3 linked regions of the Cricetulus griseus genome follow. Each later gene encodes a partner of the first gene's protein in a complex. Links are inferred from orthologs where the notes say so. Each region holds a gene or a part of one and is shown on either strand. Other genes may lie near its edges.

What was found.
Region 2: the proteins of Ppp2r5c (region 1) and Crybg1 are in contact, whole or in part, in a crystal structure (PDB 6VRO), measured with the Homo sapiens proteins. The link is inferred for Cricetulus griseus from reciprocal best matches to the Homo sapiens genes PPP2R5C and CRYBG1. Residues at the interface, in NP_002710.2 of Homo sapiens: Lys183, Thr184, His187, Tyr190, Gly191, Leu194, Arg197, Ala198, Arg201, Glu226, Ile227, Ser230, Ile231, Asn233, Gly234, Phe235, Ala236, Lys240, Glu242, His243, Pro265, Gln266, Tyr269; in NP_001358171.1 of Homo sapiens: Pro1136, Phe1138, Ala1139, Met1140, Pro1141, Pro1142, Ile1143, His1144, Glu1145, Asp1146, His1147, Glu1149.
Region 3: the proteins of Ppp2r5c (region 1) and Ppme1 are in contact, whole or in part, in a cryo-EM structure (PDB 7SOY), measured with the Homo sapiens proteins. The link is inferred for Cricetulus griseus from reciprocal best matches to the Homo sapiens genes PPP2R5C and PPME1. Residues at the interface, in NP_002710.2 of Homo sapiens: Asp180, His187, Arg188, Tyr190, Gly191, Leu194, Arg197, Ser230, Ile231, Gly234, Phe235, Ala236, Lys240, His243, Asp313, Gln341, Tyr348, Glu353, Tyr354, Glu399; in NP_057231.1 of Homo sapiens: Arg37, Lys38, Arg39, Asn192, Lys217, Val251, Glu252, Gly253, Ile254, Ile255, Glu256, Glu257, Pro345, Gln346.

Annotation. Positions count from the first base shown.
Region 1 is NC_048598.1:183,452,452-183,456,104, forward strand, and holds part of Ppp2r5c (serine/threonine-protein phosphatase 2A 56 kDa regulatory subunit gamma isoform), read right to left. Parts: intron 3,479-3,653; coding exon 3,308-3,478; intron 1-3,307.
Region 2 is NC_048595.1:266,254,362-266,258,014, reverse strand, and holds part of Crybg1 (beta/gamma crystallin domain-containing protein 1), read left to right. Parts: intron 1-3,021; coding exon 3,022-3,653. UniProt on the Homo sapiens protein: May function as suppressor of malignant melanoma. It may exert its effects through interactions with the cytoskeleton.
Region 3 is NC_048596.1:99,185,396-99,189,048, forward strand, and holds part of Ppme1 (protein phosphatase methylesterase 1), read left to right. Parts: intron 1-2,584; coding exon 2,585-2,739; intron 2,740-3,653. UniProt on the Homo sapiens protein: Demethylates proteins that have been reversibly carboxymethylated. Demethylates PPP2CB (in vitro) and PPP2CA. Binding to PPP2CA displaces the manganese ion and inactivates the enzyme.

The sequences.
Region 1 (3,653 bases):
GAAATACAGCACATAGCTGGGTGTTGGTGGCGCACGCCTTTAATCCCAGCACTCGGGAGGCAGAGGCAGGCGGATCTCTGTGAGTTCGAGACCAGCCTGGTCTACAGAGGGAGTTCCAGGACAGCCAGAGCTGTTACACAGAGAAACCCCGTCTCGAAAAACCAAAAACCAAAAACAAACAAGCAAAACCCCCCACCAGATACATAAAGGGGGCGGGGCAGTGAGATGGCAGGGTAAGGGTACTGTGACCAAGCTTAATGCCCTTAGTCTGATGTCTTGAATCCACGTGGTAGAGACAATTGAGTCTTCCACACACATCCTCTGTGGTACCATAAAATAAGTAAATGTGAAGTACACAATGCACGCACGCGCGTGTACACACACACACACACACACACACACACACACACACACACACAGTTTAAGGATGCCTCACTATTGCTCACGCTGAGCATCTTGCCTGAGCTTTCCACATGCTGAGAATAAAGGTGAGCACCACCGTGAACAGCAAGTAATCCCAGTACTCGGGAGGCAAAGGCAGGCGGATCTCTGTGAGTTTGAGACCAGCCTGGTCTATAAGAGCGAGTGCCAGGACAGCTATACAGGGAAACCCTGTCTCGAAAAACCAAAAAAAAAAAAACCAAAAACCAAAAACAACCCCCCCCAACCCCAACCAAAAAAAAAAAAAAAAAAAAAAAAAACAACAACAAACAAAACAAAAAACCCAACTATGGAGGTCAGGCCAACCTCAAGTTTATGATCTCCCCAGCTCAGGCCCTAAGTGTGGTGATTATAGGTGTGTGTCATTATGCCCGACCAATACCTTTACCTACATTATTATTATTTTCAAAATTACATTTGTCTATCACGTGTGTACATGTCTGTGGTGTGGCACACCTGTAGCCCTGTGGACAATGTGGAGGGGTTGGTTCTCTCCTTTTACTATGTGAGGCCTAGGAGCAAACTCATCAAGTTTGGGGACAAGCACCTTCCCTGGTGAGCCGTCTTGCTGGCCCTGTATTTTAGTTTATTGTAGGGGTACACACATATATAGTATGTGTACACACGTGAGCATGTGCTATGATGTGTGTCTGGTAGAGGCTAACTCTGAGTCCATTCTCTTCCCCCCACTTTCTGGGTTCTGATATTGAAATCAGGTCACCAGGCTTGCAAGGCAAGTGGCTTTAACTGTACAGGCCATCTTGCTGGCCCCAACACCTTCTTTTCTTTTCTTTCTTTCTGGCCTGGGGCTTGATATGTAACTCAGGCTGGCCTTGAACTCATGGAGACTATAGAGAACATTTACCTATCCATAAATATTTTTGGATATAATATTTCAAGACTGCACATTAGAAAATAAAAGATAGGGTGCTTAAAGGTGCAAATTGTAAATTTTGTTTTAGTTTTTTGTTTTGTTTTGTTCTGTTTTTTTGAGACAGGGTTTCTCTGTGTAGCTTTGGAGCCTGTCCTGGCACTCGCTCTGGAGACCAGGCTGGCATCGAACTCACAGAGATCCGCCTGCCTCTGCTCCTGAGTGCTGGGATTAAAGGTGTGCACCACCGACATCTGGCTTGTTTTAGTTTTTAACACAAATGCTTTTTTTCCCTTTCTTTCTTTGAGAAACAGTAGCCAGCCTGGAACTTGCAATCCTCCTGCCTCAGTTTAGGGATTAACTACTGCACTCAGCTGTCTTATTAAAGAGAACTTGCCGTTTACTTCTCTGGTATGCTTCCAATACCATCACTCTCCTAGCTCAGCAGCAGCCGTGCACACTCAGTACTTTAGAATGCTCTTCCCAGTTCACCACCACCCCCGCTGGACTGCCAGGTGCTGGCTTTTGACCAATGTGACACACAGTATTCCATTTCAGATTTCCTTAATGCTGGGCCCTTGATGGGGATGCACAACTCACTTTGTCCCATCTGCTTGTACTGACACACAGCCACATGTACTTCCGACTTACCTTTCAAAAAGTATGTAATTGATCTATTTTGTGTGTGTAGATCATGTGTGTGTGTGTGTGTGGCAGGGATGGAGGCACTTGTATACCATAGTGTGTGTGTGTGTGTGTGTGTGTGTGTGTGTGTGTGTGTGTGTGTATGCAGAGGACAACTCTGGGGAGTTGGTTCTCTCTTTCCACCATGTAGACCCCAGATATCCAACACAGATCGTCTGGCCTGGCAACAGGCACCTTCATCTGCTGAGCCATTTCACTGGCCCCCTTCTATTTTTTTTATAACAACCTGGAGTCTAGAGTTGACTGACTCCAAAGATAATGTCTCTTCTACAGCCACCATCTCTCTGTTTTAGGTGCAAGACAACCACGAGAAGCTACCAAGACGGCTGGGGATGGGGGGTTTGGGTGAGAAAGTGAAAAAAACACTACATAGAAAAAACATCTGATTAAGAAAGAGCTGGCCACATGTTTCCGGGCGATTCTAGAATGTACTTGGTATTGATCCGGGTCCATCAAGAAAGCAGGAATGGAGACTGGACTTCTTACAAGGAAGAACAAAGTGTCTTGGCAGTGAATGAGAGATGCTAGGCTGTTACCAGTGGAAAATGAGGGTGGCCAAACCCTGAAATCCTTTAGCCACCATCATCCACCAGAGGTGTCTGTGTCTCCTGGAGCAGACTCGGCATTGAGGACCCTCCACACAGAGCCTTTCCGGAATGAGGAAAGGAGTCACTGGGACCAGCAAACTGAGATGGGGAGTGTGGCAGCCGGCAGCCACCGTGCAGAAAGTCCAGGTTTGCTTCTGCTCAAGAGGAACCTCTAGGCAGGATGACAGGGAAGGCTGCTCTGCCAGGGCCAATCCAGCCAATATTCCAACACGGGTGGGGGTGTGGCTCACAAGGCCCCACCTCTAGCTGAAGTTACAGGTAGTCAGCAGCTGCTGGGAAAAGAGCCGGCTTTCTCAAGGAGTGTGCCCCTAGTAGGCTATGGCTCCTACAGTGGACAGCCCTATACTCCATAGGTTTTCAGTGATGAGAGTAGGGCAAGAATTGCAACTACAGAGAACTAAATAAAATCATATTTTATTTTTGAGTATAGGGTCTCTTTATAGCCCAGGCTGATGTCAGCTTGTAGCAATTCTTCTGCCTTAGCTTCCCAAGTATTGGGGTTACAGAAATGAGTCTTCCTACCTGGCTAAAATTTAAGCATCTAATTTTGAAGTACATGCCAAGTAAAAAAAAAAACTGAACATTGCCCCCAGATCGCAGCAAAACCAGAGTACACGCAGCTTCACACCGAGAACACCATTTCAACAGGAGCACCTGACCACTGTCACCCAGACCTGCATACCTGGAAGTGAGGGCTGGAAACACACTTGGCTAATTGTCGAAAAAGAGGCTCCATGATCTTCACAAATTCTGATGGTTCAATTACATCTAAAATTTCTTCTAATTCATTTAAGAACATTACTTCTTTTGGACTGTGAGTCTTTGGCCAGTATTTGAGAAGTGCCATTACCACCTGAAAAACAACAGCAGCAAACAGTGACGCCTATGCGTTGCCAATGCACAGAGAAGATGTCTGTGCTCCCATTAGATGTTCCCACTGCAGCGCAACAGGGGAGATGGCGCTGAGAATCAGCACCAGCATGCTTCTCTCATCAATAGTCTAGTTTTACACACTTCTTTAATCAATT
Region 2 (3,653 bases), on another chromosome or scaffold:
CATGAATTAGAGGAGCCTTCCTTTTAATCAGCCCCAGCTGGGTTAATTGCACTGACTCTTGGTAGCACAGTTTAATGGTAGAGAGTTTGAGTTGTAAAAGATGCTTTGATCCGGTGTAAATCTTTAATAAGCAGACATGCTTCCTACCCTCCAGGAGCCATGGGCTTACCTGGAGTGCTTTCTACTTGCATCCCGGATGCACTTTGATGTCCACTGCTGTACACCTTCTTGTGCTGACTGGCCACATTTAAAAAAAATATATTTCTCGGATGTCACCTTTGCTCATTCATTAATTAACACAGCACTTGAAAACCCTGTGTTTCTTCTTGTCTCACTGGCTCAGACTTTGTTTTTTGAGACAGGTCTCATGTAGCCCAAGCTGGCCTCCAACTCACTCTGGTTGCCAAGGGTGACCTTGAACTCCTGATTCTCCTGCCTCTAGATTACAGGCAGTGGCCACCAAGTCTGGCTTTTATTTGGCTCTTAAACTTAAGATGTGAGCCGACAATAACAACACCTGGGCATTTATGGAGATAATAGAGAAAGCAGTGCTGGAAGAAATTTATGAACACATGTCAAACTCAGATAATGTAACCTGGGCTTCTCGTTTTTTTATTCCTCTGGGGACTCAACAGGTCCCACCTTCTTGGGGACTGTGAGGTGTATGGTGCCAATCTGTAGAACTTGGGATTTCCTTATCTGATAAACTTGATTATGCATTGAACCCTCACCCTCATCCTTCCATTCACTCCCAACCTTCCCCAGGTCCCCCACCCCACCTCTATCCCTAACTCCAGTGATACAATGGAAAGCAGCTAAGGGCTTATTCAGGTCTGTCTAGTCTGACTCCTAATAGGGAAGCAGGGTAGTATGGAATAATGTGGTGTTGGGGACAAAGTCCTGTCACTAGCTATGTGACCTCAAGAGAGTCGTTTACTTTCTCTATACCTCAGTTTTCTTGATTTAGAACAGAACATGCAAGCTGTACATGGGATAAACCAAATGATATAACCCTGTCAAGTGCCTGGTGACCTGTGGTTTTCTTTTACTACAAACTGACAAGCCCCTCTGCCTGCCCCAGGAACACTGATATAAAGTGCTTTATAAAATAGAAAAGTGAGAATGATCTTGACTGAAAGCAGCTGTGGGGAGCCTCCCAGTCCTACAGCCTCTCTTAACCCTAGTGTAACCCTTCAAGGGGACGTCCAAAAATTCCCTTAACTGTAAGTTTGGGGTGAAATAAAAATAACTGTGTTCTAAACCGTTTAGGTGTTTGGTGTCACCTTTTAAGTTATAGATACAAAAGAGAACAGGCCAGAGGTGTGAAATAATTTGGCTAGTTACAGATATTAATGTGAGAGCCAGGGCTGTGGCCAGGGCCAGCAAATGACAAGAGAACACATTTTGCTTCTATGAAAGAGCACACTGTGTCCATTCAAAGGCATTATTTCCCATGGTAAGTAATTAGACCTAAGAAATGTGAAAGAGAGGGCAGACTGCCCAAGAGTAAACAAATTATGGTATAGCCATACGATGGAATTTTACACAAACATTTTAAGGAAAAAATTTCAGGGACTTGTAAGTTCTGATGATAACTCATCCTTTTTCTTAGCAAGAGGCAAGCTGCCAAGCCCTGTGAACATAGCAGTTTCCATTCTAATAAAATATTTATGTAGAGGGAACCATTGGGAATGAGGCAGAATGTTGACAACAGGTTTATGAATGATTTAAGAAAAAACTTTCCAGGTCAGGAGAGACAGCTCAGGACCTGAGTTCTAATCCCTAAGACCCATATAAAAGCTGTTCCTGGGGGTGTGTCTGCAATCTCAACACTCCTATATCAAGGTGAAAGGGGGAGCCAAGAAATGGCTGGCAGCTTCCAGGCCTGATAGCAATGATGTGTGCAGTGGTGAACAAGAGAGGCTGTGCCTCAACAAGACAGAGGTGTGACACCCATGATTGTTTTCTGAATTCACACAAGTACATACATACATACACACACACACACACACACACACACACACACACACACACACCTAAAAATATACATATATACTTGACAAATTTCAGATAGTGAACACACATACATCAGAATAATTTTAAGGGATGGATGGCAGAATGGTAGAAACAAAATATCCTAAGAGCCAATACTAGATGAGTATGTTTTATACTCTACCTTTTAAAGTAGCTTTTAACAGGGAGCTTAGAACTGTTTTTATTTTTCTTTTTATTTAAAAGTTTTAATTTCTGTGTATGGGTGTTTGGCCTGCATGTGATTACGTGCATGCAATGCCTACAGAGGCCAGGAAAGGGTGCTGGATTCCCCTGGAACTGGAGATATAGTTGTTTTTGAGTTGCCATGTAGGTGCTGGCAATCGAACTCAGTTAAGAGCCAGTGCTCTTAACCACTGAACCATCTCTTCTGTCCTCTCTACAAGATAGTTTTTAAAAAGTTATCAGAAGGTTGGGCTTGCCTATAACCCAGTACTTGGGAGATAGAGGCAGGAAGATCAGGAATTCAAAGTTATCTTTAGACAAGCAGTGAGCTGGAGGTCTGCCTGAACCACATGGCAATTTGTCCCCCCATAACTAAAGGTGAATAAAACATTACAAGAAACAAAAATGCATAATTGATGTCTGGGAAGCTCATCCACATATTGAGAATATGGGAATGCATTAAATATTTAAATTTGTTCTAAAGTTCCTTATACCTTGTAATGTCTTCCAATTCAAGTGACAGTCATTGTGAATGCATATTAATTGATTGCCAATCACTGTGATTTCATATTAATACTTGGTAAGTTGATAGTTTCTTAGATTTATAATCTCTTCTCTCAAATATAGGTAAGAGATCCCTTAAAAATACTTCCTAATATTTGTAGGATTGTTTAAGAAGTTTCAGGGAAAAGCAAGTCTACACCTGGAGGGTATGAAGTTTGTAGTCTTTCTGAGCTGATCTGGTTTACATGATCACTTAACACCAGACTGGCTGCTAACTGCCCACTGCTTTTTTTCTTGCAGCCCTGCTAGACCCAAACATGTGGAACTCAATTTGAAAAACCCGAAGAACCCTGACAGTCTGGGCAATGAGCACAATCCATTTAGCCAACCAGTTCATAAAGGAAACACTGCCAACAAAATCTCTTTATTTGAAAACAAGCGGGCTAACAGTAGCCCTAGACACCCTGACATCCGTACCACAAGGAACAACCCTCCCTCTAATAAGACATTTGTTGGGAGAGCTAAGCTAAACTTAGCCAAGAAAGCCAAGGAAATGGAGCAACCTGAAAAGAAAGCCTTATCAACCAGCCACCAGAATGGCCTGGTGGCCAAGGAATCATCCACAGATGCCAAAGGCGTGGAAGTCCCTAGCTCCAGAGAAGAGATTCTTCTGGCCTCCAGTGGAGGGGGAAGAGAAGCCACAGAGGATCAGGTCCTCTGCCCTGAGCCTAATCAAAGTGATAAGGCGGATGTGCAAACAGATGCTGCCTTATGTCCTTCACAGCAGGTGCCCACTGCTCGGGTTCCTGTGGAGGACCCTGAGCTCTCAGGAGAGCTCCACCCAGAGGCTGCTGACAGCAAAAACCTTGTACTTGACAACGTGAGTGACACGGCACAGGACATCCCCACCATTCTTAATTCCAGAGAGTCTC
Region 3 (3,653 bases), on another chromosome or scaffold:
ACCTCTAGAAGAGCAGCCAGTGCTGTTCTGTTCTGTTTTGTTTTCTCACAACAGGGTTTCTCTGTGTAGCTCAGGCTGTCCTGGAACCCTCTCTGTAGACTAGGCTGACCTTGAACTCAGAGATCCACCTGCCTCTGCTCTGCCTCCCCAGTGCTATGATTAAAGGCATGCACCACCACTGCCTCATTGCAGCCAATGTTCTTAACCACTGAGCCATCTATATAGCCCCAGTTGTCATGCATTTTAGACCTTGTCTACCTTAATACGTTAACAACTTTCATAGAGAGTGTCTTAACTCAATTAATGCATATTTTAAGGTGTGGAATTTGATGTCTTCCAAAACATTTTATTTTATTAATTTTATCCTTCCCCACTAAAATTTTGTTAGAATTGCAAATTATTGTGGAGTTTATACATTGATATTTGTTCTAAATCTTAATAAAAGATACGTCCAAATAATATAATCATAGCATACATAGCTTGAGAATAATTAATTGAACCTCTAGTACATGTCTGTCTGTGCATATACATATATCTTTATATAGGAATGAGCATACTTTTTTTTCTGTTCTGTTGATATATAGGAATACTACTTGGTTTTACTTTTCTGAAACCGTATAAATCTCCTACATTACTTTTTCCAGAGACTGTTCCTTATCTAAGTCATCTTTGTTTTTGAAGTTTACTAGCAGTCTCTGAGCCAAAGCATCATGGGGTTGACTTCATGGAATCACTCTGGATCCACAGTGCTAGATTCCAAAAGAAAGGGCTTTAAATATACTAAGCGTGGTAGCAGAAATCAGAAGGTTTTTTGGTTTTTTTTTTTTTTTCTCCCTTTGGTGGAAATGCAGTGATATTTTGGTGGACCCAATTAGCTTAATTGACTTGGTTATTTTTACAGGTAAATATGTCTGAGTTTCTTCCTTGTGGAATAGTAGTAAGGACCCTTTTAGACAAGGTTGCTGAAGAATTACACTAGATGACACAGAAAGCTCATAGTACATGATGGGAACTTGCCTTCCATTTCTGCATCACTGAGACCACAGATTTGGTGATTCATAAAGAATGTTGGTTTATTTAGGCTCAGTGTTCTAGAGTCCGAGAAGTCTAGAGCCTGATGCTAGTCTTGAATTATAGCATGATGGAGGATTTCACGTAGTGAGACAGCTGTGAGTCAGGGAGAGTGCTCTTTATAATCTGTGATCCACTTATTAATCTGTAAAGGGTTAATTCACTCAGGAGGCAAGCCCCTTATGACCCAGTCACTTTTGTAAGTCCTACCTTTACTGTAGGACTAGAACAAAAGCCAGTAAGAATGAACACTGATTATCTTTATCGTTCTGGCTTTTTTGTTTGTTTGTTTGGTTTGGTTTGGTTTGGTTTTTGAAGACAGGGTTTCTCTTTGTAACAGCTCTTGCTGTCCTGGAACTTACTTTGTAGACCTGGCTGGCCTCAAACTCAGTGATCCACCTGTGTCTGCCAAGTGCTGGGATTAAAGGCAGATGTCACCAACTCCCAGCAAAATTGTTGTGAGCTGGCTTGTGGGTGTTAGGAACTGAACCTGGGTTCTCTGGAAGAACAGCAGGTCCTCTTAACTGCTGAGCCATCTCTCCAGCCTCAGTAATGCTTAATTTTTATCAATGTTTATTTGTTTTTCCAACAGATAAAGTGCTAACTTGCAAATATATGAGTTTGAGAGAGACATTCAGTAATCATAGAAACACTGAATAAATTGTAGTTTTTCCTTTCACTTATATTACTTTACCTTTCACAGGGTGTCTTGTCTTTAGAAGCAATGCTGCTTGAAGGAAGCTTAGGGTTTTTTGTTGTTGTTGTTGTTGTTTTTGTTTTGTTTTGTTTTTCAAGACAGGGTTTTTCTGTGTTGCTTTGGAGGTTGTCCTGGAACTCGTTCTGTAGACCAGGCTGGCCTCAAACTCACAGAGATCTGCCTGCCTCTGCCTACTGAGTGCTAGGACTAAAGGCATGCGCTACCAATGCCCGGCGAGTCTTTTCTTTTGAATAGTCCTTTAACTTGTGGATAAGAATTTCACATTCACTTCTTACTCATTGCTCAAAGTAACTCTTGCAAATTATCCTCTGATTTCCATATGTACACACACACACACACACACACACACACACACACACACACACACACACACACGTAATATAAATAAACTGAGGCTCACAGTCATCTTATTACCCCAAACTTCATTGCATCATACTTGGGAAAACAGAGGCTTACAGTAAATTATTTCTCCAGAATGCCAAGCTGAGGTTAAACATACAGTTATATGTTTATATGAATGTACTACATGTATAGGATGATAAAATGATGATATAAAGATCAGAAATTGAGAGTTCTTAGTCCTTAGCCAGGCATTTATCTGGAGAACTGGGTGTGTGGCTCTCTGCATAGATACCAGGAACCATGTAAGCAGGCTCATATAGATGTGTTTGTAGGGTGGGTCTGTAGATCTTTACTGTTTCCCACAACTATTAGTTACAGCCCAAAAGAAGGAACTAAGAAAGAAAGGTATTTTTGGTGTCTACCTCCAGCACTCTAAGGTTTCTCTCTTTGCAGGGATGTTGGCAATGTGGTTGAAGCTATGTACGGGGACCTCCCTCCTCCAGTCATGCTGATCGGGCACAGCATGGGTGGTGCCATTGCAGTTCACACAGCATCAGCTAACCTGGTACCAAGCCTCTTAGGCCTCTGTATGATTGATGTTGTGGAAGGTAAGTTTTGGGTTCAGTAATTTATAAGAGATATTCCTGGTACATTATTACCTTGGCCATATTTGTTCTCAGTTTCACTCATCTTGAAGTATGCCTCTATGTCTTTGTGCCTTTATAAAATTATACAACCATTTTCTGTATTACCAGAAACTCTCCATTAACACCTTTTTATGGCTGTATAATATTTCTAATCATATGAATGCCTTTTAATAAAATTTTCTGACTTACCCCGAGAATCTCACTGCTCCTTGAACAAGTTAGCCATACTCACTGTGGTGTGCCACACAAGGAGTGAATCAAGAATTGCTGAGAGCCATAGTGGAAACTGTCGTGAAGCTAGATCTTTATTTTTACCCAAACATCACTGAATTCTGACATTACCAGGAACAAATACATAAGCTGACTCAGTGTGTTAGTTTTTACCACTGTGACAAAATATCTCAGTTAAGCAATCTAAAGGAGAAAAGATTCGTTTTGGTCAGATATCAGAAGTTTTGGTCCATTGCTTTAAGAATGTGTGTGTCAGAACATCACACAGAGGGAGACTAGGAAGAAACTGTGCTCCCCCAGAGCTTATCCCAGTTACCTGCTTCCTCTAAGTCGGCCCTGCCTCCAAACAGTGTGCATTCAACAATGGATTAATATATTGATAAAGTTAATGTCAATAGTGTCTTCATTATCCAACCAACTGTCAATACACCTTCAATACATAAACCTTGAGGAGGAAGAATTCTTCCTGTGTAAGCAATGCCATTCCATCATTATGAATATGAAGATAAACATGAGTATTGTTCTCTTGATGATACAGGCGTAGGCAACAGTTTGTAGGACTCCAATAGCACAAGGAATAATCTGAAAAATTAACTTCTGGATTTCCATGAAGCTAAGAAGCTTCTGTTTAGAAAAGAAACAAT